4 linked regions of the Rhinolophus ferrumequinum genome follow. The protein of the gene in region 3 binds, or shares a complex with, the protein of the main gene of each other region. Links are inferred from orthologs where the notes say so. Each region holds a gene or a part of one and is shown on either strand. Other genes may lie near its edges.

Evidence for each region.
Region 1: SMC5 (region 3) and NSMCE1 share a complex: the UniProt entries of both Homo sapiens proteins name them as parts of the SMC5-SMC6 complex. The link is inferred for Rhinolophus ferrumequinum from reciprocal best matches to the Homo sapiens genes SMC5 and NSMCE1.
Region 2: SMC5 (region 3) and EID3 share a complex: the UniProt entries of both Homo sapiens proteins name them as parts of the SMC5-SMC6 complex. The link is inferred for Rhinolophus ferrumequinum from reciprocal best matches to the Homo sapiens genes SMC5 and EID3.
Region 4: SMC5 (region 3) and NSMCE4A share a complex: the UniProt entries of both Homo sapiens proteins name them as parts of the SMC5-SMC6 complex. The link is inferred for Rhinolophus ferrumequinum from reciprocal best matches to the Homo sapiens genes SMC5 and NSMCE4A.

The regions. Positions count from the first base shown.
Region 1 is NW_022680357.1:19,109,135-19,116,904, forward strand, and holds the start of NSMCE1 (non-structural maintenance of chromosomes element 1 homolog), read right to left. Parts: upstream 3,015-7,770; 5' UTR 2,902-3,014; intron 1-2,901. UniProt on the Homo sapiens protein: RING-type zinc finger-containing E3 ubiquitin ligase that assembles with melanoma antigen protein (MAGE) to catalyze the direct transfer of ubiquitin from E2 ubiquitin-conjugating enzyme to a specific substrate.
Region 2 is NC_046293.1:15,688,262-15,695,242, reverse strand, and holds EID3 (EP300-interacting inhibitor of differentiation 3), read left to right. Parts: upstream 1-4,427; 5' UTR 4,428-4,517; coding exon 4,518-5,645; 3' UTR 5,646-6,476; downstream 6,477-6,981. UniProt on the Homo sapiens protein: Tissue-specific component of the SMC5-SMC6 complex, a complex involved in repair of DNA double-strand breaks by homologous recombination.
Region 3 is NC_046295.1:36,824,439-36,831,924, forward strand, and holds the start of SMC5 (structural maintenance of chromosomes protein 5), read left to right. Parts: upstream 1-4,472; 5' UTR 4,473-4,577; coding exon 4,578-4,750; intron 4,751-7,486. UniProt on the Homo sapiens protein: Core component of the SMC5-SMC6 complex, a complex involved in repair of DNA double-strand breaks by homologous recombination.
Region 4 is NC_046299.1:8,115,731-8,123,572, forward strand, and holds the start of NSMCE4A (non-structural maintenance of chromosomes element 4 homolog A), read left to right. Parts: upstream 1-4,832; 5' UTR 4,833-4,878; coding exon 4,879-5,170; intron 5,171-5,878; coding exon 5,879-5,956; intron 5,957-7,842. UniProt on the Homo sapiens protein: Component of the SMC5-SMC6 complex, a complex involved in DNA double-strand breaks by homologous recombination. The complex may promote sister chromatid homologous recombination by recruiting the SMC1-SMC3 cohesin complex to double-strand breaks.

The sequences.
Region 1 (7,770 bases), on a different chromosome or scaffold from region 3:
TACAACTAAACAATACTTGGGAATGCAAATGGGAAACTAATTGCATACACTAACATTTACAGAAAGATATTACAAGCAGCTTATAGCAATCAATGTGAGTCACCACATTAGCAGAATAAAGAAAAAAAGGAATATGATCATCTCACAGTTGATAAAATTCAACATTTATTAACAGTAAAAACTCTTGAACTAGAAACTTACTTCCTTTATCTACTAAATGGCATCTACAAAAACCTACAGCAAACGTAATATTTAAGGATGAAATGTTGAAAGCAATCACTTTAAAATCCAAATTAATCCAATACAACCAAATCAATGCAATTCCAGTCAAATTCCCAACAGGCTTCATGTGTATGTGTGTGAGCTGACAAGATGAGTCTAAATTTTACATGGAAAATGTAAAGGCAAAATGGCAAAGACATTTCTTGGAGAAGACAAAGGCAGGAGAAATTGTTTTTCCAGGAACCACAACTTATTTTAAAGATAGAGTAATGAGTAAAATGTGATAATGGCATAGAAATGGACAAATAAGACCAATGGGACAGAATACAGAACTCTGAAACAGAAACACATACATGTATGGATACTTGACGTGTTGAAGAGATAGAACTCCTAACGAAAGCAGACTTTTCAAAAAACTTGGCAGAACAACTGATTATCCATATGTGGGAGAAAAATAAAAAAAATAGACCCTTACCTCATGAAATTCTATTCTTAAGGAGTAAGGTCATAAGAAAGGAAAGGCTATGAAACTTTTGGACAACAACGTATGATAATAACTGTATGACTCAAAGACAGGGAAGAGTTTCTTAAAAAAAAATAAGAAAAGTACAAACCATAAAGGAATATACTGATATCTTCAACCTTGTTAAAATTAAAGACCGGAGTTCACCAAAACACCAGACAGTGGAAAATAGAAAGAGAAGACACGCTACAAACTGGAAGGTATCTGAAACACATTTAAGCCACAAAAGACTCACATTCAGAACATATATAAAGAGCTCCTACAAAAAGCAAAGGGAAGACAACTGTGAGAGAAATGAGCAACAGAAATTTGACAAAGAAAATGCACAACTAATAAAGATGTGAAAAGATGCTCAAACTACCTGTCAACAGGCAAATGAGTATTAAAACCACCGACTAATGTCTCCACTACCACCAGAGAGGCCAAAATCCTTAAAATGGCCGAGGCTGAGACTCACCCACTGCCCATAGAGTGTAAACCCTTATAAGCACTTCAGACAAGTTGATTTTACCTGCTCATCTGTATATCCTCCGAAATCCACTATCAGGTACATACCTTACAGAAACTTTCCCACATTGGCCCCAGGAAATATGCTTATAAAAGCACCATGTGGGAGCAAAAAAACTGGCAAAAAGTATAAGTGAAGACCAACTGAACGGCCTCCATAAAGTGTGTATAATCTGACCTTGGAATTCAAAGCACTGAAGATGAAGTAGAGCTACTCACAGCGACACAGATGCATCTAATGTATACATGGTGTTAAATGCAAAAATCGAGTCACACAAAATATGTTAGGATCCCATTTATATAAAACTCAAAACCTAGCAAACCATGCACTGCATTCATCAGAGATACATCAACAGTAAAAACAACAAAGAAAACAACAGAACGAAGAACACAATACTCAGCGCAGTGGTTCTCTTTGGTGAGGGAAGAAAGGATTCAACGGGGGCTGTGAGGACATGAAAATGTTCTAACATGGTGGGTGGATGTTTGTTTTATCTTCATTCTTCAAACTTACATTGTTATAGATATGTCACATATCTTAAAAAGGGAAGAAAATTATGTAAATATGTTAAGCCAAAATGTTACTAAAGAAGAACTAAGTAAAGAACGGTATACAATGCTGTACTTTGGGGAAAGGGGAGGGCAATGGGGGTGAAAGACAGGCTTGTTCTGTCCTAGGATTCAGTGTTCTCCCGGAAGAGGGACTGAGTGGGGAGGCTGACCACGGACACGCACTGCCCTCCCAATGGCCTTCAAACAGAAATGCTTGTGGAATAAGCAGATGTCAGTCATAACCATCCACGTGTGCCATGTGCTACAGCACAGTCTCCTTTACTCGTCACCAGAACCTTATGAGAAAGCCATTCCTTACTCCATTTTACACACGAGGAAGCCGGCTGAGGGCACAAGGGGACACACACAGTGATGGAGACAGAGGGTGACGACACAAAAGCGCAGTTCAGGATGTGTGGCACCCCCGCCAGCGAGAAATAGGAGTAAATAATAACATGAGGATCCCGGCTCCTAGTCTGCAATTGTCAAATCTAAAAAGGTCTGAACATCAAATCTTTTAAGTTTGAAAACTGGATCAGATCTAAGGTGGGGCTATCTATGGTCGTTCTTTATCCCTTTTAGTGTAAACCCGCGTGTCTTCAGCGGCGGTACTACGGTTGTGACTGACTACAAGACGCTGCCCCAGACGCCGCTGACGGTGGGGCCTAACCTGTGGAGAACGCAGGCTCCCCACCCTCCTCCGGAAACCCCGAAACGCGGGGTTCTGAACGCTGACAGCCGCGGGGCTTTAACGTCGGGGCTGTGGACTCGGACACAGCGAGACGCTCGGCGCACAGAACGCGGGCGCGGGGCGCGGCGCCAGTGGCTGACGAGCAGTCGGCGCGGGCCGGCTGCACGCACTCAGTTCAGACACATTTCGTACTTTTCTTCACCTAACATCATGCTAAGAACTATCTTCTCATCTAATATCACGGTTTAAAAGTGTCCCTGTGAGAGGGACGCGTTTCCGGTCTATTGGCCCTCGCGGCCCCCTCTGGGCCTCAGTTTCTCCAGCCGGAAACGAGAAGCCCCGGGGCCCCGGGCCCTCAGCGCCGCACTGGGCGCAATGCGCAGGCCGCCCCGGACCTCAGCCCCACCTTCCGGCCTCCCTCGCCGCTCCGGACGGCGTTCTCGAGTCGCCGTTACCCTCGGAGGCGCCCAGGAGCTGCTCACAGGGCCCGCGCCGTTGGCAAAAAGCGGACTCGGCTCCTCCCTCAGGGCGGAGCACGCGACGCTCCCATTGGTGGTCGTGCAGGTTCGTCCCGCCCGCTCGATGACGCACTTCCCGTTACCCCTCCCGCGCCGTTGCCGTGGTGCCGCAGGATCGATCTGTCAAGTCCAGTTTTAGGCGCTTCCCTGGCCTCTCTGGGGACTTTATGGAAAAGGAGGAGGAGGAGTGCAGCGTGCGCCACCCTCATGGCCGCGATTTCCCCACCTGTAGAACTGGCAGTGTGGCCTCGTGGTCAAGGATGGGGGGCTCTGTTGTCATATATCCTGACCAGAATCCTGGCCCTGCAACTTACCAGATGCCTCATCTTGGACAAATCACAGAGAGGCGCTGAGCCTCAGTTGCTCCTGTCAAACGGGGATAATAGTCCCCACGTAGCAGCAGCGTGCTTGTGAGGTTTACAGGACAACACGCATGAAGGGCTGATATTGAATGTTAGCGACTGTCCTGCTCTGGGAGTGTTGTGAGGAGTAAATGAAGTTATCGGTGGAAGTGGATGGGCACGTTACCATCGTTTGTATTCCAGTCCCTGGTCTGCCAACCAGGACCCAGTGCAGCAGGGAATAGGGGTGGCTAATTACAGAACAGCGGGGAGTGCAAGTATCTCTGTGACCACAGCCTCAACCCACCTCCACCCCACCCGCAGGCCAGTTAACTCTGTTGTGACCTCGGACAATTCAACCGCCCTGGACCTCAGTTTGATCATCGGCTGAGCAGGGAAAGCTTGGGCTCCAGAGCCCAAGCTGGATTTGAATCCAGGTTCTTACACTCAGAATCTTTGAGACCCAGGACAAAGTAGTCCCTCACAGTTCGTTCTTCTGTAAAGCAGGGATAATAATACCATTGTTTTGATGGGCTTGTTATGAAGATTAAATACATTAATACATGCAAACACTTAGAAGAGTGTCTGGCACATAGTAAGCCCTCAGTAAGTGTGAGCTTCCAGTATGAACAAAGTACTTTACAAATTGCCTTAGGGTCAGTCGAATAAGAGAAGAACAGCCCTAAGAAGGACTGGGCTGCCATGTTTTGTTTGCCCTGCACAGTTGTGTACACTTTTCAATTCATTATCAACATTTAAAGTTGAGGGATTTCACAGAAAACCCTGGGGTGTCTGTCCGCTCTTGTAAAATTGGGCAATGGGACAACAGGCCACACTTGTTCAGAGCTTGGTAGAAACTGTCCCTTTGTAATGCACCGTGTTTTCCTGGAGTATAGAGGGGGAAAAAAAACCCCGAGGACCATGAACACAAAATGCTGGGAACACTGGCATTTCAGGATGAAAGGGCCAAGGAGGAGGTAGAAAGAGAAGACAGGATTCAAGACTGTGGTGTCAGAGGCAAACAGGTAGAGAGTTTTGAGAAACAGGGTGTGGTCAGGTTTGCCAGTGCTCTGGAGAGGTCAAGAAAGATATGCCACTGATGAAGAATTTCATGGGCAGTAAGTAAGTGCTGGGAAGTCAGCCTGGAGGGGCGCAGCAGCCTGAGATCTCGGTGAAGTGGTAGTGTTGGACAGGAGCAAGTAGTGGGTAAGGACTGGAATTGGCAATGAGGGAGTGACCCATCACAGGGCGACTGTCCAACCTCAGCATGACCACCCTCAGAAGACTGCCCACTCTCCAGGTGGTTCTGTGAGATTCTATTAGGAAACTTGGATGTGCCACGAATTGGACTGTTTGCTACAAGACTGTAACACTTCAAATGTCCTTCTGAAAGTTGGCCCTAAAAGATACAAGAGCTACACGGACATAAATTTGTTGTACATATGGAGGTTGCCTAGGCCTTGGCTAGAGAGAAAGTGTGGGGCCAAATCACAGGCTAAGGGGCTGTCTTTTACCTGAGAACCACAGAAGCTCAGAGAGGAATTGAGGAGACCAAGTTTGCATTACAAAAAAAAATATTTGCATATCTGTTCTTTTCAAACATACTTGGAACATTTACAGAAATTGACTACCACAAAGGAAGCCTCATTGAAATCCAGATTCAATAGGTCACATTCACAACCCACAATAAAGGAAAATTAAAAATCAATAACAAAAAGAGAGCCAAAAAGAAACCCATACAATTCAATAGAGTATACCTTAAATTAGTAACAGTAGGAGGGGCCAAGAAGACAGGCTAGTTTGTCTTTTTATCATGTATATCTATGACTTATGAAAAATAAAATTAAAAATTATAAGCATACATTTGAATTTCATGTCTTCGGTTGGAAGTTCATTATATTTTTATACTTTTTGTATGTAGATAGCTTTTATGACACATTTTTAAAAGAAAAAAACGTGCATTTGTAAACTGAAAAATACATGTGGATTTAAAAAATGTATATGGAAATCACAAAATATTTAGAAATGAATGACAATAAGAGCCTTACATAATAAATTCTGTGTGCTCTAACTAAAACAGTAATTAGAAGGGGGATTATAGCCTCTGGTGTACTTATTACAAAACAAGAAAACAAAATTTGTGTTCCATTTAAGAGGTAGAAAAATAAATAAACCCAAAGAAAATGGAGGGAAAGAAATAATAATAAAGCAAAAGCAGAAATGAGTAACAAATGAGAAACAAGAGAAAATCAAGTTGATTATGGAAACCACATACTCACATAAATTTTGGATTTACTGCGTTTTAAGCTTGATCCAGTGGTGGCAATGGGTGTGGATTGGTGGAGCAGAGAGGGGAAGTGACCCTTCCACTCCGCCCTCAGCCTAGAGGGATGCTGACAGGCCCCAAAGGCCAAGATAAAAGCCATTCCTGTGTATAGTGCGGGCAGAGTCAGGCACTGGCATGAGAAGGATACACAGTGCTGGCAGCAGGGTCCACTGCTCAGTCTTCCTAACAGGCAGTGTGGCTGTGCTTTTCCAGAGCCTGGGCCTACGTGCTGTGTGACAGGGGACAGCATTTGCAGGGGGAGCTGAACACCTGGCTCCTGGCGCAGCTTTGCTGGAACAGGCTTCCCCCTGCACAGCTGTGGTAGCTGTACCTGTCCGGTAGGTTGGGGTACAGTCCCTCAGTTTTTTACTGGCATAAGGGGTCTTGTCCAATGCTGGGACCACTCTCAGGTCCAGAGTGATGGCCTGGTGTGGGAACTTCAGTCTTGGGGGGAGGGGCGCATATATGGAAGGCATATATGGAAGACCTGGGAAAACAGTGCCGAGTCAGCCAAGGACACCTCGAGAGATTCCAAACACATAGCCCCCACACACAGTCAGCGACCGTGGGCTGGTAGCAGCTCAGCACCCCACACCCCACATTGTTTGTCTATTTCTGTCCCTGTCTGACCTTCTCCTTCAGTCTCTGAACATCTGTCTTTGTCTGACTAGGTTCAAGATATTCATGAAACATGCTTGTCCATGGAAAAACATTCAGCCTAAGAGAAAGCCTATAAAGAGTCTATCTGTGCCAAACCGATGCCAATTGCTGGGAAGCAAAATCTCAACGGACTGAGAAAATGCTTCACAAAATGGTGGTTTGCAGTTATTTTATACACAGAATCAAAGGAGGAGGGTTACATGAAATCCATTGGTGGTAGATTAATGGGGTGGGAGAAAGCAAAGCAGGGAAATCTCTGTGATTAAAGTAAATTGGAGAGACAGGTACTTCTTTCACATAGGTGGGTACAGGATAGTTAATAGCACTTTTCACAGCACATAGAGATGGGAATCCAGAGAAGAATAATAATGAGGGGTTCTACAGCTTCCTGCTCTGGTGGTGGGGGGAGGGAGGCATTACTGACATTCCAAAGGGTGTGTTATTTTTGATGCAAAAAGACAGTTGACAGGCTCACTTAAGGTAAAGACTGACCTTTGTCTAGGAAGCTGCAGGCCAAGGATGTGACTTCCCGCCATGGCCCACCTGAGTTAGGAATTTGTATGTTCACGCCGTCCTATACGTGGTTATTTTCAGTCTCCTGAGCTTGTCAGGTTTCACCTGTGGCCCCTTTTCCATCCTCATGCTCTTGTCGTCACCCTGCAGAGACCCTTTCGAGCCCCCAAGAGACCTCACTTCATCCCTAGCTCGGGATGTCTTACCTACCCCTGTTCCTTTTCTATCTCCCTACGTCTCCTACATGTGGGGTCCCTGACTCTCCTGTGTGCAGGGTTCCCATATGTATGTATTAAATCTGCTCGTTTCCTCTTGATAATCTGTTTCATGTTTATTTGATTATTACAGCAGTCAGAAGCCTGGGGGTAGAGGAAAGTCTTCCCCACATAAGCAAGTAATCAGATATTTAATAAAAGGTGAAATTTGGGAGTGTATCTACATCACTGGGTCCTGAAATAAGATTCGACAATTTAACTAAACTAAGTTATTCTCAGGACTGAGTGATTAGCTCAATGAAATATGTAACAATCTACCAATTTACCTTCTGGACGTGAAACTTTTATTACAGTTTCAAAGGTGGGAATGAAGAGGACCAGAAGTTTTGCCCTGGGGCAAATTGACTTTAAACTGGTTCTTAGGAAACAAAAGACTCATTTAGAACCTTTGACCCTCCCTCTTTTCTGCCTAAGAGATTCAGATGGAAAGAGCAGGTTTAGGGAGGGAACCTTGGCATAAACTCCTTAGCATAAGGCGGGAAGACGCCCAGGGAGCCTGCTGACCACCCTTCCCCCATGTCCCATTATTTTCTGGGTAGCCTGACAACAATTTACCTCCCGAGAGTGTGCCACTCTTCCTAAATTACCTGCAAAGCACCCGATCTGAACTCGCTGCCTTTGGAATTTTTACACGTATGTGAA
Region 2 (6,981 bases), on a different chromosome or scaffold from region 3:
GAGAAGATATACAATAGCCGCCTTTTACAAATGAGGAAAATAAGTGGAAACTAATAAAGCCCTGCTTTTGATTGGGGAATCCAGGCCTCCAGAGCTGAGTTCCTTCCCAGCTGCCCCTTTAAAACCACATCCCAGTGCTTTCCGACCCCTGGTCTGTCAAAATGATGCTCTTGGTCATTGCTGATTTCTGAGGTGTCCCAAGAGAGTTGATAATTGCTCTTATAACCTGAAGCGTTCTGTTCTCATCTCACACCCTTGTTTACAATAGTTCTTGAGGCTTGGCAAGTCCTCATCACTGGGTTTTCTGAAGTGACAGTTAAGTCTATGACTTGACCACGGGCAAGGGTGGAGGTTTTATATACTCTGAAATATTTCAGTGACTGGCTCCAAATTGTTTTGTGGGACTTGATTGCCATTTTATCTTTTATTTCACTAACAATAAAGCAATCTTATTTGAATAGAATAGTTATTCAGAGCCTCTTTTGGACACTGGGTTTTTAAAGAATCTGCTGAACTCCAAGGACCCATTCCTGAGAAAAATGTGCACATGTAGTTTTGCATATAGTCGCAGATTTTTTGGTGGGCTTGCTTCAGAATATCTAGTTGAGAGTTTTATTCTTCAAAGTAACTATACACACTTTCATTAGTTGAAGCTTTAGGTTTTAAAATTTTCTTACACGGCAAATTTCTTTTCACTGTGATTTGTTAAGTGAGATACATTCTTGTATTACTCCTTATGGATTTAACCTTTAAAATATTTTTCTGTTCCTGAAACATCCAAGAGTGAAGCTACTGGTTTGTACATAGGTGTTTCTGTTTGGTGTCTAATGTTTATGAACCATTTGCTATCTTTGGGATAATTTAAGATTTATTAAGTACCTACTCAACAGCTGAAAATATTGTCAAATCTATCACATAATTCTCATTCAATATTTACAGTAACTTTATGATATAAGTAGTAGTATTCCCATCTTACAAAGGAAGAAGCTGGAGGCTAAGAGGTTAAGCAACTTGCCTAAGATAACTCTAATAGCTAGCAAGTCAAGATTGGAACCAGGTTTGCCTCCATTGGCCATGGTCTTTTCAGACACTCATTTGAAAAACACAGATACCTGCCTTAATCACAGCAAAGTTTACCTTTAATACTAAAAAACCAAAACCAAACAAAGCAAAAATGTACACGCACAAATATAACGTTAAAGGAAATTAAGATGAAAAAGAAAATATACCTAACGTCCTGCTACTTTGATAAATCAAACTAGGACTTTTACAACATCTCTTCACGACTAAATATTAAATAGATACCTTGGAAGGATGAGGAGAGAAAAACTGATATGAAAGAAGGCATAAAGAAGTTGAGGAGGTAGCTTAACAGCAATAAGTCTGTTAGAGTGTGGGGATCCTACCTGACTTGTTCCTGGTTTGGCTCAGAAGTCTTTTAAGAGATTAAACATCTTCTTGTTGTAGATTAATCCTGCAATAAAAATCCCACTAGAAAAGATAGTGGACTCTATGTGAGTCCTTTTTTTATTTGGCTTAAGAGAGAGACCTGTGATCTGTGACATCCATCCCATCACATTTGGCTTGAGCACTGGGAGTTGTGGGAAAGAGCTTAAGAATGCTTGGAATGAATGAATCTGAACTCCTGGCAAAGGACTGATAAATAATACTGGAAGAAAAACTGAGGAAAGGAAGAACGGAAATGGAGAGCCTTATTTAGCCTTTGGCAACATCCCCTGAAAGAGAACAAAGTAGTGGAGAGGAGCTAAATTATGTTGGAGGCCAAGCTGTGTGCCATTGGTTGTCTGAAGTCGTCTTACTGCATGAAGAAGGTAGATGTTAGTGATTTCTTTGAAGTAGTAGTGCACTTTTGCTTTCTGTTAAAAGTCATAGAGCAGTTTACCAGTATAACTGAAATTGTGTGTTGTAGTTCCTTTTTTAAGCTGCATTTATATAATTATTACTAGTAATTTGACCGTAGGTTAGAAAGCCACTGTTTAGTGATTTAAAGATGCACAAGTGTAGAAATCCCATTCTTTAAATGATGAAGGAAAATCATTAGACTTGAGATTTTATTTTGAGATGACATATGAACCTTATGCTCTAAAGGCAGATTTAAGAATGTGGGATATGCAAGTCTGGTTTCTGAGGATGACAGAAGTTACATGTTACGAAGATTCTTAAGAACAGGGATCTAGTATAGAGTGAACTCAGCACAGAAACGACAACTTAATAATATGCTTGTCTTGATATGTTCTGTTGCTTCAAGCAAGTTGTGTGGGCTGTTATCTCCTGAGAAATCCCTATAAATAGTATTAGTAATACTTTATAAGTAGGTGAGGAGAATTATTTTTCTGAAGCGTTTCGAAATTCTTAGATGAAAGGCTCTGTATGGAGCAAATTGGTATCAGCCTGTTCTCCCTCTTCTGATGCAGGAGAAAATAGGCACCTTAGGGTGGGAAGGTTGGCTTATCTTTTGGAGTTCTTTTATAAATTGCTTTTGTTGAATTTGAAGTGGATATCAGAAGCTCCTAAGGATACAGTTAACTATAAAAGCAAACTCTTTGGGATTTGGGATTAGGGATTAACTCTCTTCCTCTTAGATTTAAAACAGGTTTAAATATTAGTTTGTAATTGGGCAGACTTAGGGGGAAAATGTGGTCCTTTGATGATCCTGGATCCCAACTTTGTTTTTTTCTTACTTTTTCTGTATTTCAGAGAAGGGATAAGGTTGACTTTCTGAAAAGGAGTCAACTTTTATTTTCATTTTGAGAATCTCTTAAACTAACCTGAAATTTTTTGCTGCCAAATAACTTGTAGGAGGTGTTGGGACAAAGTTTAAAAAAAAAAACTACATTCATTTACAACGTATGCATTTAAATGTGCATAGTCAAATGCATCCATGTGAAAACAGCTTTGCTTAGAAGATTTAAACCAAGTTTTTGCTTTAGAGAAGCTAACAGTCTAATGGCAGGATAATAGGTATATATGCACAAGTAACCATAGCGCATGGTGTTTTTGAAAAATGCATGTTTCTTCCTGAATTACCCCTACTTAAAGAAATAATGGTGCACAATAGTAATGTAAATATTTTGGAATAACTTAATAACAGGTTTTGCTGTTTATGCATTTGCAAGAAACTTTCTATTAATGTCAAAGAAAAATGAACCAGTCTAGATGCATAGGAAGGAAGGTAGGGCTAATTTACTTCCGTGTGCCTTGAAACCAGAGCTGACAGGTCAAGTGTGGTGTGTTCTCTCTCCCTCTCTCTCTCCCTCTCTCTCTCTTCCCCTCCCCCTCTGCCCCTCGCCCCCTCTCCCATCCCCCCTCCCCTCTCCCCCTTTCCCACTTTCCCTCTCTCGGACTCTCCTTTAAAAGGAACACCTGTTGCAGTGGTTAAAAACTGGTCTTGCGGGTTGAGAATGCATATTCTCTTTAAAAATGAAATATATTCTGTTCCAGTGTTACCTGTACTTTGCTGCCTGTGTGACTGCTAAGCTAAGCTCTCTCTCTCCAACTGTACAAGAATTCCCAGTCAACTAGTAGGTGAAGTTTCCAGTATAGATTAGTCACCTGATTTACAGCATTTGCTTTCATAGCTTTATCACAGATTGTGTTTAAAATCTTCATTGCTTTGCTTACCTTTTAGGGTTCAGATTTACTATCCATTCAGTCTGTGGTCTTTAGCCTTTGGCAAGCTTCCAAATAAACAGCTCTTTTGTAGAGATTGTACCTGTTTTATTTGTTCACCCTTGGGTGGTGAACCAAAGATCGCTTGAGTAATACGTTCCTTCCCCACCTTCAAGCTTGCTCTAGCAGTGACACACACGAGTGATGCCCTCCACTCCATGGGGTAGGTTGGAGGGGATTGGGCTTTTGAGGGCCCGGGAAGGTAATTGACGCAATTTACATTTGTATAATGAAGAATTGAGTTCCAAACAACCATCTACTAGTAAATGAACTCTTAGAGTTGGTGGCCTATTTGTAATGGGAGTTCTGCATGTCACGATCCTTGGTCCTACTGGTAGTTTATAATCTAGCCAGATTTAGTTCTCAAAAATAAAAGACCCCACTTCTTAATCACTAAGAATAAAAAACGAAGGTCGACTTAACTGCAGTATGTGACAGCAAGTTTTAAAGCACAGGACCTTTAGTTTCCTCACAATTTTGTCATAGATTGCCCAAGTGTTTCTTCGAAAGCTAGATGATACTGTCAGTTAACGCTAAAACAATTAGCTATCGCTTAAACGGGTGTATGAGTGTGGGCTTCGGACCGATTATTGCGTGCGTCCTGTGCGCCACGGGCTTGTTTGCGAACGTGTTGCACAAGACCTGGGCTCCGCAAGGTGGGGCTGTCAGGAGGCGGGGCGAGCTGGGGGCGGGGCCTCCCGGCGGTGTCACCAGTGCGCATGGGCGAACAGGTTCCTCCGCTCTGACTGACCCCTTCAATTTCCGCCGCTGTCCGAAACCGTTGCGAAGGCCGTTAGCTGAGCGCTCCCGGAGCTTACTGACTGACAATGTCTGACGAAAAAGATTCCCTGCGGGGAGGCATAGAGGAGGGAGAGGAGCGGGTGGTGAACATCACCAGTAGTGCGTACTCCGTGAAGCAGGCGGAGGAGGAGGCAGATCCCATGAAGGTGGAAGTGGCGGTGGGGGCTGATGGCTGCTCTGAAGGCTGTTCTGACGACCTCAGCTGTGGAGAGGCCGACATAGATCCAAATCTCCTGGGGCTTGAGGCTGACGAGGAGAAGTGCCGGAGTATCCGCAAGCAGTACCGGCAGCTCATCTACAACGTCCAACAGAACCGTGAAGACATAGTGAACACAGCGAGCGACTCGTTGAGCGAGGCTCTTGAAGAAGCCAATGTCCTGTTTGATGAAGTGAGCCGAACAAGAGAAGCGGCTCTCGATGCCCAGTTTCTTGTTCTGGCTTCTGATTTGGGTAAAGAAAAAGCCAAGCAGCTGAACTGTGATATGCGCTTTTTTAATCAAGTAGCATTTTGTGACTTTCTCTGTATATTTGTGGGACTAAACTTGATGGAAGATAATGGACGTAATGCGTTGAGTGGTTGTGATGATAATATAGCTCTTTCCTTCTGGGAGACAATACAGAAGGAAGCAACATCCTGGATATTGCAAGCTGGAACATTCCACTTTATTTTTGGTTCATTCAAATCAGAGTCTTCTGCCCGAAAGCCCCGACGTGAGCACCAGAAAAAAACTCACAGAATGGAAGATAATAGGGATATGCCTGTAAAACTGAGGAAGTTGGACTTGAGTAATAATCAAGAAGCGACAGAAAAAGAAGTAGAAAGAATCCTGGGATTGTTGCAAACGTACTTTCGAAAGTATCCTGATACTCCTGTGTCCTATTTTGAGTTTGTGATTGATCCAAATTCTTTTTCTCGTACCGTGGAGAATATATTTTATGTTTCTTTCATTATAAGGGATGGTTTCGCAAGAATAAGGCTTGACCAAGACAGGCTGCCAATATTAGAGCCAATTAATATTAACCAAGTGAGTGAGGGAAATGATCCCAGTTCCTATGGCAGGAAACAAGGGGTTATATCTTTGAGTTTACAGGACTGGAGAAATATTGTGGCGACTTTTGAAATTTCAGAGGCTATGATCACAAATTCATACTAAATATTTTTGTTCCTAGTATAGGATGCATTTTGTGGCTTTTCTAAAAGTGTGTCAAAATGCAGAGTTAAATCCAAACAAAAGCACATATTGTTACCTCTTGTAAAGTGAAAAAGTATTTTCAAGAACATCAAATTGTTTACTGTGCAGTGTGATTTTCTTGGTAGTTTATAAGATAGTCAAGACCTTCTGTTATTAAAAAAAATTTACTGGCATGTTCATGGGAAAATTTTTTGAATGTCCTTTGAGACTATTAATAAAAATCATTTCTGAATTTCGTAAGTTAAAAGGTATTTGATAATTTGCAAAAAAAAAAAAATTTAGTTATGATGCCCTGTGATACTGTGTTCCTCTGTTACAGGGAACCAAGGGAGTCCCATATGGGGCTCCTAACCAGGTTGGGGAAAGAGTGGGTGAAAAAAATGGTAAAAAACATCCATAGGGCAGTGAATATGCAACATTAATACTATAAAAAAAAAATTAAGATGCCTTGCTTCATTGCAGAGAGGGCTCAGGTCAATGAGTGGGTATCCATATTCTAAAAAATTTCTCCTGTGATTAAACTCAACAAAAGTCGAGTTATCTCTACTCTAGTAGACAAAGCATCAACTAAGTGCTGAAAAGTCATTAGGAACTGGTCAAATACAGGAATGGTATTCTAGGCAGGGGATATGGAGGCCAAATATATGGGATTGTGAGAAATTATGGCACCAGAGAACCATAAAAGGTTTTGAAAACTATTCCATTTGAATGTTAAGCGGGGCAAAAATTGAATTACTTTGTCTGTCATTCTCCTCAGAGATAGAAGATATTTTTGTCAGATTACTTCAAACACAAAAATCGTTTAACAACCAGTTATAGTCTTGATATACTTGGTTAATTTCTTTTCTGGCCCCTACTTTCCCTTTGTAACTTCTGCTAGTACACAGAGTGTCCTTCAGAATCAGTGATGTTTTATTATGTAACAGCCTTGAATATTTGTTTCCAGTTCAATTTGGCATTTCTTAATAAGGCTTTAAATGCCTGGAAACTGTCCCTGATTAAACTGAAATACAGGATTAACTTATCCCAAAGTTCTTTACTTCGGATAAAACCATAAATGCTTTTTTTTATTACTTGCAATTGTTTTAAAAATACATATTATAGACTTATTTGGTGGTTATTGCCAAAAATTGGGTCTTTAAGGAAACAGTTTTTGAAGGTGCAGTGAGTATGCCTATAAGCTTCTTTTCTTGATCTCTATAGGAATTTAATCTTCGGTGGTAGTGGATTTTGCCATTAAACATTATTTGGCAAGTGGATAAGTATTTTGCATAGTAGTAATGATAAACTTTCCAAC
Region 3 (7,486 bases):
TTCTGTAGTTAAAATGCATGTAAAATATAAAAATGGGCTTAAAGGACATTACATTACACACTGAACGAGTATCTAGGAGTAGTTAACTAGGGGATAAGGAGTGCAGGATCAAGATTAAGAAAAAGAATGTCAACTGCACACTAATTTTATCTGCATTGTTCTCATTTTTAAGAGGAGAATATATTCATATATTCCCTGTGTAATTTTTTTAAAAGTTGATTAAAGAAAAAATACTGGACGAAATCATGCCAAATAGTTAACGGTGTTAATTCTTGAATGCACAAATATGGATGTACGGTTGTTAGTTTCTGCTGTGTGCTTTTTGAATGACAAACTTCCTAAAATAATAAAAAAACAAGTACAGTTTTAATTATAAAAAGAATTTTATGGCTACTAATCAAACCTGTGGAAGTGAGAATTTAAAACCAACAAGTTTATGGGAGAGTTCAACAGCACCCCAGCCTGTGGAAATGCTGAGATGAAACGTCACTCTTGGTGACTGATATCAAAGGACTCATTTTATAATTCATGCAGCTAATTTGAACAGATTCTCCACAGTTTGAACAATTACCAACTTTCTTTCCTTTGGGAAGTAACAAGGTGTGAGGGGAAATGCTTGCTATTCCCCCAGATGCTCCAGACCTAGCCTGGGCAAGGACTGTCAATTCATTTTGCAAGGACTTGCAGAGAAGATGACACATAATGCTTTAGCACCTTGTTCTTGATCTTTCTGAAATTAAAGGTAAATTCCTTCTGGAGCAATTTATACTGTTTTCCCATTTTATATTCTCAAAAGAAATGAAGGCCTATTTAACTCTAGGCTTTCTATCAAGACACATCACAAAGAACACTTAAACCCTGATACTGGTTCCTAATGATTTTATCTTTCAGTTGGTTTTTGTATCCAAGAGATGGAAATTTGGGAAAGAGGCAAATCTGTTGAGACTTTGATCCAGAATAGAAAATGCATTATAAGAAAGTACTTAGAACAGTAGCTTGTCTATGGGAAATGCTGTTGGTGTTAGCTATTACTAATATTACTACAGTAAGAACCACATATTTTGATTGTTTTTATGATGTTTGAAACAACTTAAAAACTTAAAAACTTTAGAGACTAGGTATCCTTATGTTTAGCAGAAGCTTGCTGTATGGGGTTGTGTTCCCCTGAGGAAGGGTGCTGATTCTCCCCAGAATCCCTCATCCTTGCCTAGATATTCCCCCATGAGGTCTTTAATTAGGTCTGTTAGAAAGAGTGTATGATGGGAAGTTTGGGGGAGCAGGGAACAGGGGTTGTTCCTGAGTGCCAAGGTCTTAGGTTTTAGTATCTGCTCCTTCCCTCTCTTTCAAGCCATGAGGGTTCACTTTTCCACTTTATGAACTGGCCCAAAAGTAGTATTTCCTCTCACTTGGTATATAAGCCAGAGGAAATTATTCTTGTTAACCTGGGAGGGTTCTTCTTAGAACTGGAGTAGTGAACTGTCTCAGTCCGAGATGGTCTCAGCAGCGTCCCATTCCATGCATCTTGCCCCAGCTTCTTGCTACTGTGGCACCATTATCAAGGACTTGATGTGAAGCCAGGAAAGAGAACACAGAAGATGGTGTTTTGATGGTGAAGTGAAATACATTTATAATCCTTGACCCCGCCCCTTTCTGCCAGTTTTTGTTTGCATCAGTTTTAAAGTTTCGGTAGAATGGAAGGCCTTCATACAAAATGGCCCCTGGTCACTTACTCCTCGGTCGGTAGAAAGTTAAATATAATTGCCTTGTTAGATCTATTAGCTAGTAAAGATGGGGTGATGAATTCAGCTTATGACTGGAATTTAAACCCTGAGAAGTGTAGGATTAGCTACAATGGCTCACTCACTCATTGACACATTCTGGTTAATTGATAATCTTTCTAAAGAACTTCTCCCTCTGCATCTTTAACACCACCCTTTGCAAGACAGTTTTCGCCAGTGGAATTAAAGAATCCACATGTGGCAAGATAAATGTGTATATTTTCACAGGTGCATAAAATTTTTAAAGAATGTTAGGAAGCAGTGAGCTTCTATAGTCTCCCGAGTATCCTGGGTTCATGTTAACTTCCAGTCATATAAAGTCCGAGAAAGAAGAAGTACTTAAATCAGTTACAGTACATCTGTTTAATGGAATACTACATAGCTACTTAAAACTATGTCACAGAAAAAATGTTTAATGCCATGGAAGGATATTCATAATATATGCAGTGAGAAAATGGGATAAAATAATAGTATGTATAATACAATTTGTGCAGTATCATCCTGATTTTTTTTAATGAAAGGAGCGTACCGTACACATACTAGTATAAAGACATCAAAAGATACACCAAAATCTTAACAGTGATTAGGCTGGGTAGAGGAATTATGAGTGATTTTTCCCTTTGCATATGTGTGTTTTCTGTGTTCCCCAAATTTCTGTGTTTAATAACATGTATTACTTTTGCAATAAGAAGCAAAACCAGTAACATTTTCCTTTTTAGAGGATGGTGGCAGATCATGACTGGATGGCTGTTTAGACAAGAACTCATAGTGTATGTATATTTGTGGGGTCATCACAAGTTCAGGGGCTCATTCTCAACATTCACGTTTATAAGCACAATTTAATTCACTAAAAAACTGGTGATGGTACAAAAATAATCAGACTGGTTCCCTGCCCTCAACTCCCATTACCACGGCCTATATTAATTGCCATTGGGATAGATTCCCCCAAAAGCAGTTATTTCTTCAAAGAATTAGACTTTTCTAAGGTTCTTGAAGCAGGGTCCCAAGTTACTTTATTTTTTTTTTATTTATTTCAGTGTGTTTTCCCAGGACCCATCAGCTCCAAGTCAAGCAGTTGTCTCAATCTAGTTGTGGAGGGCGCAGCCCACAGTGGCCCATGTTGGGAATCAACCTGCAATCTTGTTGTTAAGAGCACTGCGCTCTAACCAACTGAGCTAACCGGCCGCCTCCGAAGTTACTTTTTAAAAAAATGTGTACTAGCAAGATAGGGAAGGGCAGTATAGTGCCTTCCTAAACACTGAGTATTTTTCTTATTTCCTGGCATTTGAACAGTTTTAAAATTATTCTTATTGTAATTTGCTTTTCTAAAAATGTCTAGTAACCTTGACAAGTTCACACGCTTTTTAACTCGTTCTATTTTCTTTGGTTATAACTTTTAGAGAGCGGGGGTTCCATTTGCATGAAAGGAAGAAGCAGGGACCTGGGAAAGGAGCACTGGTCCAGGAGTCAGAAATCAGGGTTCTACTGCATTAGCTTCCTAACTGGCTTCCCCACTTCCCCTTCTCACCCCTCCAAACAGCAACCAGAGTGGTCATTTTAACTTTAGCTAGATCATGTCCCTCTCCTGCTTAAACCCATCCAATGGCTTCCCATTGCTTTGAAAATTCAGCTGTGCTATGATGGCCAAGGCTCTGCTCTGCAACCTTGTTTACTCCACTGCAGCCACGCCGGCCTTTGTTCCTCCAACATCTTTGTGCTGGCCTGTAATTGCTCTTTGCTTATTTACGCATTTGGCTCCCACTCCATCAGGGTTTAGCTCAAACGTCAACCTCCTTTGGCAGGTCTTCCGTGCCTCCCCCATCCCATGTCATTGTTTTGGGTTGTTTTTCATAGCACCGATCATAGCCAGAAATGATCGTGATCGTCAGTTGGTTCGCTTGTTCTTTTTGTCTCCCACACCAGAACGTAAGCTCGCAAACACGCAACTTTGGCTCCTTTACTGCCGGCAGCCCCAGCCTCTTGTAGGTTAGGCATTAATTATTATAGTTGAGTGAATGAAGATCTCACTGCACGTCATCTTTAATGCACTTACTAGATGTTTACTGGATGAATGTGAGCAGGGTTAAGAGACAGTACGCTTTAAGTGAAGCCAGGGCATTCTAGCTCGGGGAATTAGGGAGTGAGAGGTGGAAAGTACAGAAGGGGGAGTGCGGTGTAATCTTTTCACAAGTTATAGAGCGCAGGAGACCTAGCATAATGCTTTAAGGGAGCCATTTGGAAGAGTTTTCTTTCATTTTTTTAACACGGGGACCTGATTGAAAGCAAACAGGAAGCAAACTAGAACACGAAGAGCCAAAGACCTGCGAGTCCCGGTGCACTCGGGCAGGCAGGCACTCAGGCGGAACGCGCACAAGGCTGGTCGCACGTGCCCGCCTTGGTGTCCCCGACCCTGGGTCCCAGGTGCCACCGCAAACGCCTCTCTCCCCTCGAGTATCCGCTTCCTTGGAGCGCTAAAAGAGCTTTCAAAATCCTAACTGTAATTGACATCTTTCTTTAAGTTGGAAAAAAAAAAAACCCTGAAAAAATGCAAGAAGGTACAGAGAAAGGGCCGAGACCAGCATCCCGCTAGTCCCCACCCCCAGCCACCTGCGTTCTCGTTCGCGCAGGCGTTCCAGGCCCAGGGCGGGGCTTGCCCGCTGACGCCATCTGGCCGTGACTGCGCAGGCGCGGGACGGCTCTCGGGCGGCATCCCGCGCCTGGCAGATCGCGCGGGAGCGGGACGTGGGGGCTGCAGGTTGGTGGGAACGGAAGCCGCTACGGGGCGGAGGGGAAGCCAGGATGGCGACTCCGAGTGGGAAGACCTCAACTCCAACCCCCCTGGCCTCCAAGAGAGCTGCCCCGAGAGATCCCTCGTCGGAGGTCCCGAGCAAGAGAAAGAGTTCTGCGCCCCCACTGCCGGCCGGGCCTTTCGTGGAAGGCTCCATCGTCCGCATCGCGATGGAGAACTTCCTGTGAGTGGCGGGAGGCCGTGCGGCGGCGGGGGCGGGGAGCGGGCCCGAGGGGTGCACGCTGCGTACGTGTGGGTGGGTGGGTGGATGTGTCCCTGGCTTGTGGGTCTGGCGGTGAATTTGCGTCGTGGTTACCGTGAGGATTTTTATTCGTAGGCTGTGTAGATTGACGTTTGTGTTGGTGTGCTAGGTGTGTGTCTTGTGGATGCGGGTTGTTGTTTTATTAATTTTTTATTCTACCAACGTGTGTTGAAGGCGTCATTTGGCGGGCAGTGGATATAGTAGGGATTAGATCTCTGCTCGTTGGAAATCACGACCTATAGAGGGAGGACATAACTTGTAATTCTCAAAACTATGGGCCCTGGGGATACACAAGAAAGAAGCAACAGAGTGACACTGATGATGTGGCAGATTCATAAAGAGTAGGAAGTTGCCATGGATAAATGGTGAATGTTCTGCGGGATAGAGGTTGAAATGTACAAGAAAATTAATACTCTCATTAGTGGGCCTCCCAACGGACTCTTGACACCTACAAATCCATCTTTCTTTCCTGGTCTCTTCTCTCTCCTTTCAGACAATAATCATAATAATCATTTTAGGATTTAGTAATATGTTTCAATAAAAAAATACCGTGTTATTATAGCACCTTACAGTTAGTTCATTTGGTCGAGGATTTTTTTTTTTTTTAAGCTTGCACATAGTGGTGTAGGAGAAACAGAATTGCAAGAACAACATCACCATTTTTTTCAAGCACCTGTCATGTGCCAGGTATAGAAATAGGTGCTTTATTTATACAGTGCTTTCATTCTTTGCTAATAACAACTCTTTGTATTATTTCCATTGATGAGATAAACTCAGCGAGATTAATTTGCCCACATTTACACAGCTAATAGGTACCTGAATTACTATTTGAATCCAGATCAGGAAAGATCATCACATAAGTTCCTTATCGTAATAGTGTATGTATCAGGATGCCATGGGGACACAAAGGAAGAAGTTAATATCTTCCACAACTGAGAGAGAGGGTTTTGTACGGAGGTTCTGAAAGTACTAAAAGAAGGGAAGTGCACTGTGGACAGAAGGACCTGCCTGCGAGTTTATCTTTAGGAAGCATCGAGTATTTTAGTAGGCGGGAACGCAGGCTGTGAGTGAATATGTGGACGTAAGTGATACTGAAGAGGTAGGCAACTGTTGAGGCTCTCAGTTTACTATGCTAAGGAATTCCAGCCTCATTCCCTAAGGAACCAGTATGCGTATTAAGTAGGGAATGGCATGTGATTCGTATTGCTCTGGGAACAGTGTGAATGAAAGATGCTTCAGAAAGGGTGCAAGGTTGGAGGCAAGATTTTTACAGTATGAAGGCAAGCGATAACCAGGGTTTGAACCTATGAGTAGCAGATGGTGAGTAGGAGCGGAAAGAAAAGAGATTTGACAGGATCTGGCTACAAATTAATTGTGAAGCATGAGGGTAAGAGGAATGCAGCAATGGCTAATTGGTCAGGTATGGTGCTAGTCTGAAGAGGATCAGTTTGCAGAGAATGATAATAAATGCGTTTTGCATCCTGTGACTTGAAATTTTCTGTGGGACATTTAAAAGAGACCTTCCATAGGCAGTATTTATAAATGTCTGGAGCTTACAGGAAAATGTGAACAGGTGAGAGATTTGGGAGCATGTATATAGGTGATTGTTGAAGTTGCAAAAATGTTTGAGATTGCCCAAGAGGAAATATAACTAGGAGGAATAGAAGGCCAAGTACAGAGTCCTGGAGAATGCCAACATTTAAGGTTAGACAGAAGGGGAATTCACTGACTGAGAAGGACCTATTCAGGGAGGTAAGAGGAGAACTGTAGGAGAGTATTATCAAAGAAGCCAAGGAAAAGAGCTTTTCTAAAATACCTACTACATTTCAATGTAGTAGATACAGGACTTGAAAAGGGCCCCCTGCATCTAGCAGTTAGAACATCTTCGACCCTTTGAGAAAGCAGTGGAAGAAGAAAACTTTGTAAGTCCTGAAAGAAGGAATGTGTGTGAGGAAGTAAATCTAGATGTGAAGAGGGGAACAAGAGTGGCTGGAAAGTGCAGAGCTCGGGGAGGTTTTGTTTATTTTCACATGAAGAGGACTTTTGAGTTTTAGGAAAGAAGTAAGGGGTAGGCTTAGGCAACCAAAATGGCCTGAAAGAGAATGGTCAAAGGAAGGATTCCTATGAGAGAACCAAGACAAATGGGGTTGGGAGTGGAGGGAGAGATTTCTAGGCAGAAGGAACAGGATGCGCAAAGACTTGGAGAAAGAACGAAGCCTAAAATAGTCAAGAAACTAAAAGAAATTCTTTATATACTTAGAGTACCTTGAGTAGAGGTCTGATTAGCGAATAGGGGAAGGAGATAGAAAGTAGACAAAGGTGAAGCTAGAGCTAAGTTATAAAGGATACTGTTTTTTTTTTTTTGTTTTTTTGTGTTTTTTTTAGCATGTGGCATCAGATTTGCATGTCTACCAACATGATTTGGTGATTGGATGATGTGTATGTGTGTGTGTGTGGGGGTGTTTTGGGTAGAAGTAAAGGAGATGGTAGAATCAAAGATGATTCAAAACTAATGCTTAGGTTTCTGATATGGGCAGTGGGATGAGTGATGCTATGAGACTACCAGAGTGGTTTTGGAAGGAAAGATGGTAGGTTTCGTTTTCAATGTGTGACGTTTGAGGTGACGGTTACGGGACATCAGATAAGGTTATTGAAGTG
Region 4 (7,842 bases), on a different chromosome or scaffold from region 3:
TTGGGCACCCTGACCCAGAGGCCTCAACGATAAAGGTAGGCATGTCCCAGTCCTGGGCTGTTTCCTCTCAAAATCTTTGGGATCAGTGTCTAGACTCCAAGTAAAGGCTTGGGAAAAAAGAGAAGCCTCTAGATCTAGGAAGTTCTATCCCCCAGAAGGTTGCATGGCTGACGCCCTCTCATTATTCAGTTCTTCACTGAAATGTCAGCTTTTCAGAGAGGGCGTCCTTGACCACCCCCGGCTAAAGTTAGCCCCCCACTGCATAATAATTCCTTACCACAATACGCTTTTTAATTTCTTCATATCACCACCTTCTGAAATTACTTGTCTATTCCTTGTTTATTGTCTCCTTCCCTGATAAGATTGCAGCCTGGTGTCTGCCTGTGACAGCAGGGATCTTGGATATCTGCTCACTCTGGTGAGCCTGGCATCTAATGGGCACATGATGCCTGCCTTCCAGCTGAAGAGTCTGTGGAACAGACCTGCTGATATTCAGCCCTATGCCGCCGGCCACCTCTGAGCTGAACTGCAGCTTGTCCACGTCAGCAGCTGCCCACCTGGAGTTCCTGACATTTTCCCTTCTTGCCACTTTAGCTTCCTTTTATGTTCCTGCAGAAAATTTCTTTGTTTTCAGAGCCCAGCTGGGTATATACAAGTTGTGGTATATGTAGGAGCTGGTTGTTTTGCAGCAGGGGACTCCTCAGAGTGTCTAATCTGACATATTTGTGATTATTTTTCATCTTTGAATGAAGCAGGTCCTGAACACGGAGCGTCAGGCTTCGGGCTCTAATGCTCCAGCTGCCCAGTCCTCTGCTCTCGTCCGCACCTGTGCCCTGCCTGTGCTCGCATCCTGTGCTCCGTCCCATCTCAGCTGGATGATCTTGACTCTGCCATCTAGGTCAAAATTCTTGCCTAGTTCCTAGTCCTTTCTGTCCTAGCCCTTAACACAGCGGCCATTGTATAGAAATCTTTGTTTTCATTTGCTTCATGTCTGAGTCTCTCCCCAAACGAGTGCAGGACTTTGTTGTCTTTAGTGTCTCCAGGATCTAGCATGTGGCTCAGCACATAATAGGCACTCAATGATCATGTATCACTAGTAAATGAAGGACCCAGACAAGAGGCAGCTTTTCATCACAGATTCACTAGTACAGCAGCAACTAGCAGACAAGTAGGGTGCTGGAAGTTTTTACTAACTTCCAATTTCTCCTGGGAGCCTGACAGATGAAAAGCCATGAGATCTCCGAAGAGACATATTGAATATTGAATTACACCAAGGGACGTGTTTATGACACTAGCCGCAATAAATGCATTGCTGATGCTCTAATGCAGATTTGCCCGGACACACACGGCCCACAAATCCAGAATTCCTAGCCCCAAATCAGATCTGACCAGAAGGATCCCACCTGTAGTTGGCTGTTTTCCCTAGAAGCGATGTTGCCAGAACTACTATACACTTTGTTTCTCACCTGAGAATTTACATGTTTTCCCATTTGATTTGCAAGAGAGCTGGTCACCAGCTGCAGCCTGGCAGCGATTCCGTGACACCAGGGGACCCATTCTCTCCAACCCTGCCCTATCTCAAACTCTTCTCCTGTGTCTCTCCTCTCTGCCGGGTGTTCATTTAGTCCTGGTTACCAGATATCCCCCCTTCGGGTTACTCCTCACTTTGCAGTTTCTCATTGTCATGTCATTTTAATTAGGAGGGTAATCCAGAGGCGTCAGCTCCTGGGAAAGGAGCCTACACAGTCAGCTCCTTTCACCACTCTGTTCTCTGCTTCATCATCTGCAACACTCTTGGTTTCTGATTAATATTCCATGCTAATCAGTCTTTCTCGTCATGGGCATAGTTCCTACTTTCTGGATCCATCTGGCTGCACAAGTTGAGATTCTTTTTTTTTTTTTTTTTTTGGTACTAGAAAATTTAAGCATGAAATAAATGCATTATTTGTTTTTCTACAAACAACAGAACATGTGATGAAAAGTGGTTGAAGCAATGACATTGATTACTGCCCCTGACAAGGGCTGGCTTAGCAGCTTGGTTATGTCATCAAAGACTTGGGCTCTTGCTGCCGTGGAATGCTAATTTCTTCATTTGTCCTCACATGGTCACAAGATGGCTGCCACATTTTGAGTAACCCATGTGGACATGACAATATTGGATTAAAAAGGAGCATTTTCTCTTGGTGTCTATTTTTATAGTGGAGAAAACATTTCTTAGAAGGCCTTCAATAGACTTGTCCTTCATCCTGTGGTCACAATCAGGCCACATTCCCTGCCACAGACACAAAGGAAAGAGGAGAGGAAGGAGAGTATGTGGCGTGGGTTTTTTGGGTCTCTATGATGGAAAGTGGACTCTGACGGTAAAGAAGAAAGGATGGGGAAACAGAGAAACAAAAAATATGTTTCCCAGCCTCCCTCGCAGTTAGGTTGGGGCTCTGTGACCAGCTCTGGCCAATAGGCTAGGAGCAGCAGTGACATGTGCCACTTCTAGGTTGAGGCCATTAGGCCAATGCACCAATCCTGGACTGCTTACTTCTAGACTTCCAGTTTCACAAGAAATGTTGTCACTATTTTGGCTAAGGCACTGTAGTGGGGTTGCTATTATACCTTGCTGAATAGACCCGGATATACCCTTTACCCACCATGTTGGTTGTCCTGCATTTGTCTCAATACCCACCTCAAATCCATTTCAATGTTTCCTGGCCCAGCTCTGCCCAGAGACTGATATATAAACTGCATCACACAGGTTCTCCTTGTCCTCCAGTGTCCTGCAGGCCTCAGCTAATAGGAGGTAAAAGAAGGGGAGAAGATGTCGGGAGAGAGAGACCAGGGTATTTTAGCCTGCACTTTCTCTTTTCCTGGCATGGCTGCATCCCCTCTCGGATCACAGCTCTTGTCGGGTGGCCCTTCTCCATGACTTCAGCCCTCATGGGATTCTGGTAACACTGCTTCTTCCCTCTGACTGTTCAGGTCCAGGAGTAGTAATGTCTTCCCACTGTTGCTCATCCTGGGTACCTGTATTAGTTTCCTATGATTGCTATAAAAAATTACCACAAACTTGTTCTCTAATTTATGTATTTTTCCTTTGGTTACTTGTGCTTTTGGTGTCATATCTAAGAAACCATCGCCTCATCAAAGTCACAGAGATTTACACCTATGTTTTCTTCTAAGAGTTTCACCTTTAGGTCTGATCCATTTTGAGTTAATTTTTGTATATAGTGTAAGAGAGGGGTCCAACTTCATTCTTTTTCATCTCAATATCCAATTGCCCACCACCATGTGTTGCAAAGACTATTCTTTCCTCATTGAATTGTCTTGAAAATCAATTGACCATAGAGGTATGGGTTTATCTCCGAACTTTAAATTCTATCCCATTGATCTATATGTCTGTCCTTTTGCTAAGGAAGAGGCAGTAGTATCACACAGTCTTAATTACAATAGCTCTGTAGTACGTTTTGAAATTGAGAAGTGTGGGCCCTGCCAGCTTTGTCCTTTTCCAAGATTGTTTTGGCTATTCTGGGTCCCTTGCATTTCCATGTAAATTTTAGGATCAGTTTCGTGTTTGTCCCCCGGTAAGAACCTGGAAGTCTCTGAGCCATCTTTGTGACCTACTACGCTTGGTAGGCTGTCTGGCCCATTAGCACATACCAAGACGTGTTGAATTGAAGGACATGCTCCAGGTCTGTTTGGCTGGAGCTTGAAACAGCTTCCACCGAGAAGAATGCTTAATATTTGTTTCAATTTGAATGCATTGAGCTGCAAGTACCGACTACAGAGGAATTAATGGTAGCGTAAAGCACAGGCTATTTATGGCTTGCTTAACAAGGACTTGGGAGGTAGGCAGTTCACTCAGCAATTCAGCCATGGCCGTCTTTCTCTCCACTGTTTTCAGCATTTTGGTTTTTCCTCACACTTGTCACCTCATGAGTACCAGAAGGCTGCATCATGCCATGTGCCATGTCTTTATGATAACACCTCAAAGAAGGAGTGGGGGTGGGGACAGAGACATTCTTTTCTAGAGGCTTATGTTTCATCCAGCTAGAAAGCCCCATCGCACTTCACTGACCAGAACTGGACCACACGGCCATCGCTAGCCCAGTCACTCGGGAACGGGGATGAGATTACCACGACTCATTTAGGCCAATCCCTCTTCCTCTAAGGCAGCAGGCACCAGAGCGTAATTTTCCTGAAATCCAGGGAAGTAGGGGCGGGGCAAGGTATCTGCTGTTGAGCAGCAGAGAATAGTATACATTCTATATATACATTTTGTACAGAGAATAGTACAAAAATGGCATTTTTGTAGCCTTGTGTAGTAACTCAACTTAAAATATTGTTTCTTTGAGAAAAATGTGTTCTCAGCACCAAAGAGAATTTAGGGACCCTTTCTTGAATCCTTTCGAAGGTATTTTAAATATTTTAGCTTGAGATCCAATTATGAACATAAACTGTCCTGGTTCAGACAGTTAGAAGGGAAGGTTAAATGGTGTTTAATATGCGCTGCGTGCCCAGGACGTTGCCAGCCTGTGGCTGTGTGCCGGGCCGCCAGAGACTCTGGGGAGCTAAGGCCCAGTGCGGTGGGTACGGGGTACCCACAACCGAGATTCTCACCACTTTACAGCGTAAGTGGGATCTTAGTACATCGGAGGTCAGGGAGCGGAAGGCTCCGGTCGGGGACCCGGGCACCCCTGGCGCCGCGGGGAGGCGCTCTCAGCCTGCGCCCGCGCCTGGCCCCGCCGCCGGCCTCCCGCCACAGGCGTCGCTGTGCGCTCGCGCCGGCCCGGAGTCGCGTTCCGTGGAGACAGGCGCTCGCGCCGAGCAGGGGTTTCAGTTTCTGGCGCGAACTTCCGCCGTTCCGAAGTTACACCGGGAATTGGCGCGATGTCCGGAGACAGCAGCGGCCGCCGGCCCGAGGGCCGGGGCCGGGGCCGGGGCCGCGACCCGCACCGGGATCGCACCCGCTCCCGCTCGCGGTCCCCGCTGTCGCCCGTGTCCCGCCGCGGCGCCGCGCCCGAGCGCAGGGAGGCCGCGGAGCGCCCGAGCTTGGAGGAGGAAGAGCCGTCGGATTCCGGGGACGAGATGGTGGACCCGGCGAGCTTGGAGGAGGAACCCGACCACGGCCTGTGCCGCCAGATCCGCCATCAGTACCGGGCGCTCATCAACTCGGTCCAACGTAAGGCGGGGCGCGGGGCGGGTGGGGCAGGTGCCAGACGCAGGCCCTGCGCGGCCCGGCTGCTCAGCGGCGCCCCGGGCTCGGCCGCGCCTCGGTGGGTGCCCTGAGTGCGCCCACATCCGTGGTGTCGATCGGGCTGCACGACGTTTGCAGGGGCGCTCAGGTCCCCGCTGGGCAGGACGGCACCTCTGGAGGCCAGGCGCGGTCGGTGACTTCCCCGAGCCCAGACGGCGAGGAAGGAGGAGAGGTGGGACGTGGAGCCTAGGCTCCCCTCTTGCTTTCTGCAGTTCCCGGGAGTGGTCGCCCGCCTAGGAGCGGCACCCGAGAACTGTCAGAAATGCAAATGCAATCTGAAACCGGGCGTGGCCCGCCCATCTCTTGTGTGGCTCTCCAGGGGCTGGTGTGGCTTGCAAAGTTTGAGAACCATTCTGTTAGGAGCGCTCCTTAAAGGCTTCAAGGAGTCAGCCCTTTGGGTGAAGGTGAGGTGGAGCCGGTCTCCTTTTAAAGTTCATGTTGCTTAAAGGGTACAGACCACCTTTCTCTTCTGTACCTTTTTGGTTGAAAAGATAAAGATGTTTGAAGTAATTGCCGTGGGGCGGGGCTTGGATATGGAGCTGGTGATCACTTTGTCAATGACTTGTTACTGAACGATGAGTACATTTCCCAAAGCTCGTATTTTGTAAAATAGCTTGTGTTTGTTTAAAATAGAAAACCGGGAGGATATACTGAATGCCAGCGACAAATTAACAGAGGTCCTTGAAGAGGCCAACACTCTGTTTAATGAAGGTAATTCATTATTTTATATACGGAAGTTTGTTGTTAGACGTTTAGGATCATTTTAATTAGTTTTATATAAGAGCCAAATTTTTGACATCAAACAATTCCCACATTTATAATAATAGTGCTTTACTAGTTTTTGGAAACCGCTTCATTGTTGCAATACTAAATGTCACTTTTATGGTGCACTTACCATTCCTTAAGCGAATACTAAGGGCTTTTTTATGTGAAATTCTGGTGGTGGGGCCAGCAATCTGTTTTTATGAGCCACTCAGGTTGTTCTGTTGTTTGAGAACTTTACATGTATTATCTTTGATCTTTCTGTTGTATTTACTGCTGTGTTCCCAGGATACATACATGCATTTGTTGAATGGATGAGTTAAAGAAAGAACTGAGCTGACCCCTGACTTCCAGTTGCTTTTCCTGCCGTCCTCCCGATCTCCCTTCCCTCAGCTCCTTGCTGTTGTTGGTCCACTTACAACCCAGTGGGGGTGGCCATGTCTACAGGTGGACCTGTTGGTCTCCAGTCAGGGGGGTATGTGCATGACAGAGAGAGAGAAATCTCAGAGCACTGAGCTATAGACCATGGGGTAAGGGGGCTTTAAAAAAGAATCATGACTTTGTTAAAAGCAGCAGCAGTGATGGTAGCAGCAGTCTGTTCAGTGACAGAGGACAGGTCAGGGTACTCCCTGATGTAGGGCCTGGGTCACAGCCCTAGGACAAGTGGTCAGACCGCTTTCCTTCCAGGCCCCCTTCTGACAGTTCCGTGGGAACAGAAAGGGAGAATTTGGACAAGTGCAGCGGTAAAGAAGAGTCAACAGAACTTGCACTGCCGGATACCACAATTCCTCTTGTTCTCTGAAGACCAGAACAGTTATTTCTGGTCATTCGCCAGTATGGTTAATACTGTTCCCTTTTAACATTTTTCTGTCTATACGCACTTAGATTTTTGTCTTTCTTACTCTGACCGCACCTCCTTACCATTCCCCATCTTGGTCTACCGATTGGCTCCATCTCACCCAGACCTTCCAGAACCAGCCTTTCCTTTTTACCTGGTCAAATCCCTCCTCTACCCTCTTTAGCCTTTTCTTTCCCAAGCCTGGACCCCCAGTGAGTCTCCTCAAGGTTACCCTCAACTCTTTCATTCCCTTGATACTTTACTGTGCATCTTGATAGTTCTTGATCTACATACCATTTCCCCACACGGCTATTTCCACTGTACTGACTGTATTACCTCTTTATGGCAAAATGATCGACTCAGCTGGGCCCGAGGAGTTGGTCAGCAAACAGAGTTCTAGATCCTCGGTGTACGTGGATTTGATGGTCTCAGTTTTATCTGTGTAGAGGCCTTCAGAGCCATCCACGGCAGAGCTCTTTCCTTACAGTACGTGCTGTGAGGCAAATGGGCGAGGGGGATCTAGAACAGCCCGGGAACCGGCGTCTGCCTGTGCTTCATGCTCTCAACTCCTTGCCACTTCTGCACTCTCCTGAAATAAAACTGAGGGGGGGAAGGTGACTTCTAAACACAGACACAGGAGTCAGCACGGTCAGCAGCCTGAGGATTGTTCTGGAAATCAGTGATCTAATGGAATGGCCTCAAGGAACACGCCCGGCATAGGCATTTCTGTGCTTGAACTTTGCTGTGTTCATCTCTGCTTGCCTTCCTCTTCAGTTTGCCTTTGCACGTGTCCCAGAGCACTTTTTCACACTCCGTTTCCTAAGGGGTCTGATTACCCTGTCTCTGTTAAGCCCGGCTGTGTCCTCCAGTGGACCCTTCCCTCACCTCCCCAAGCTTCATCCTCAGGTTTCCTTCTTGTCTCCTTTTATTTAAATCTCTTCTCGCTGTAGCTTAGCTTAAATCTCATGTCCTCTGTCAAACCTTTTTGGATCGTCCA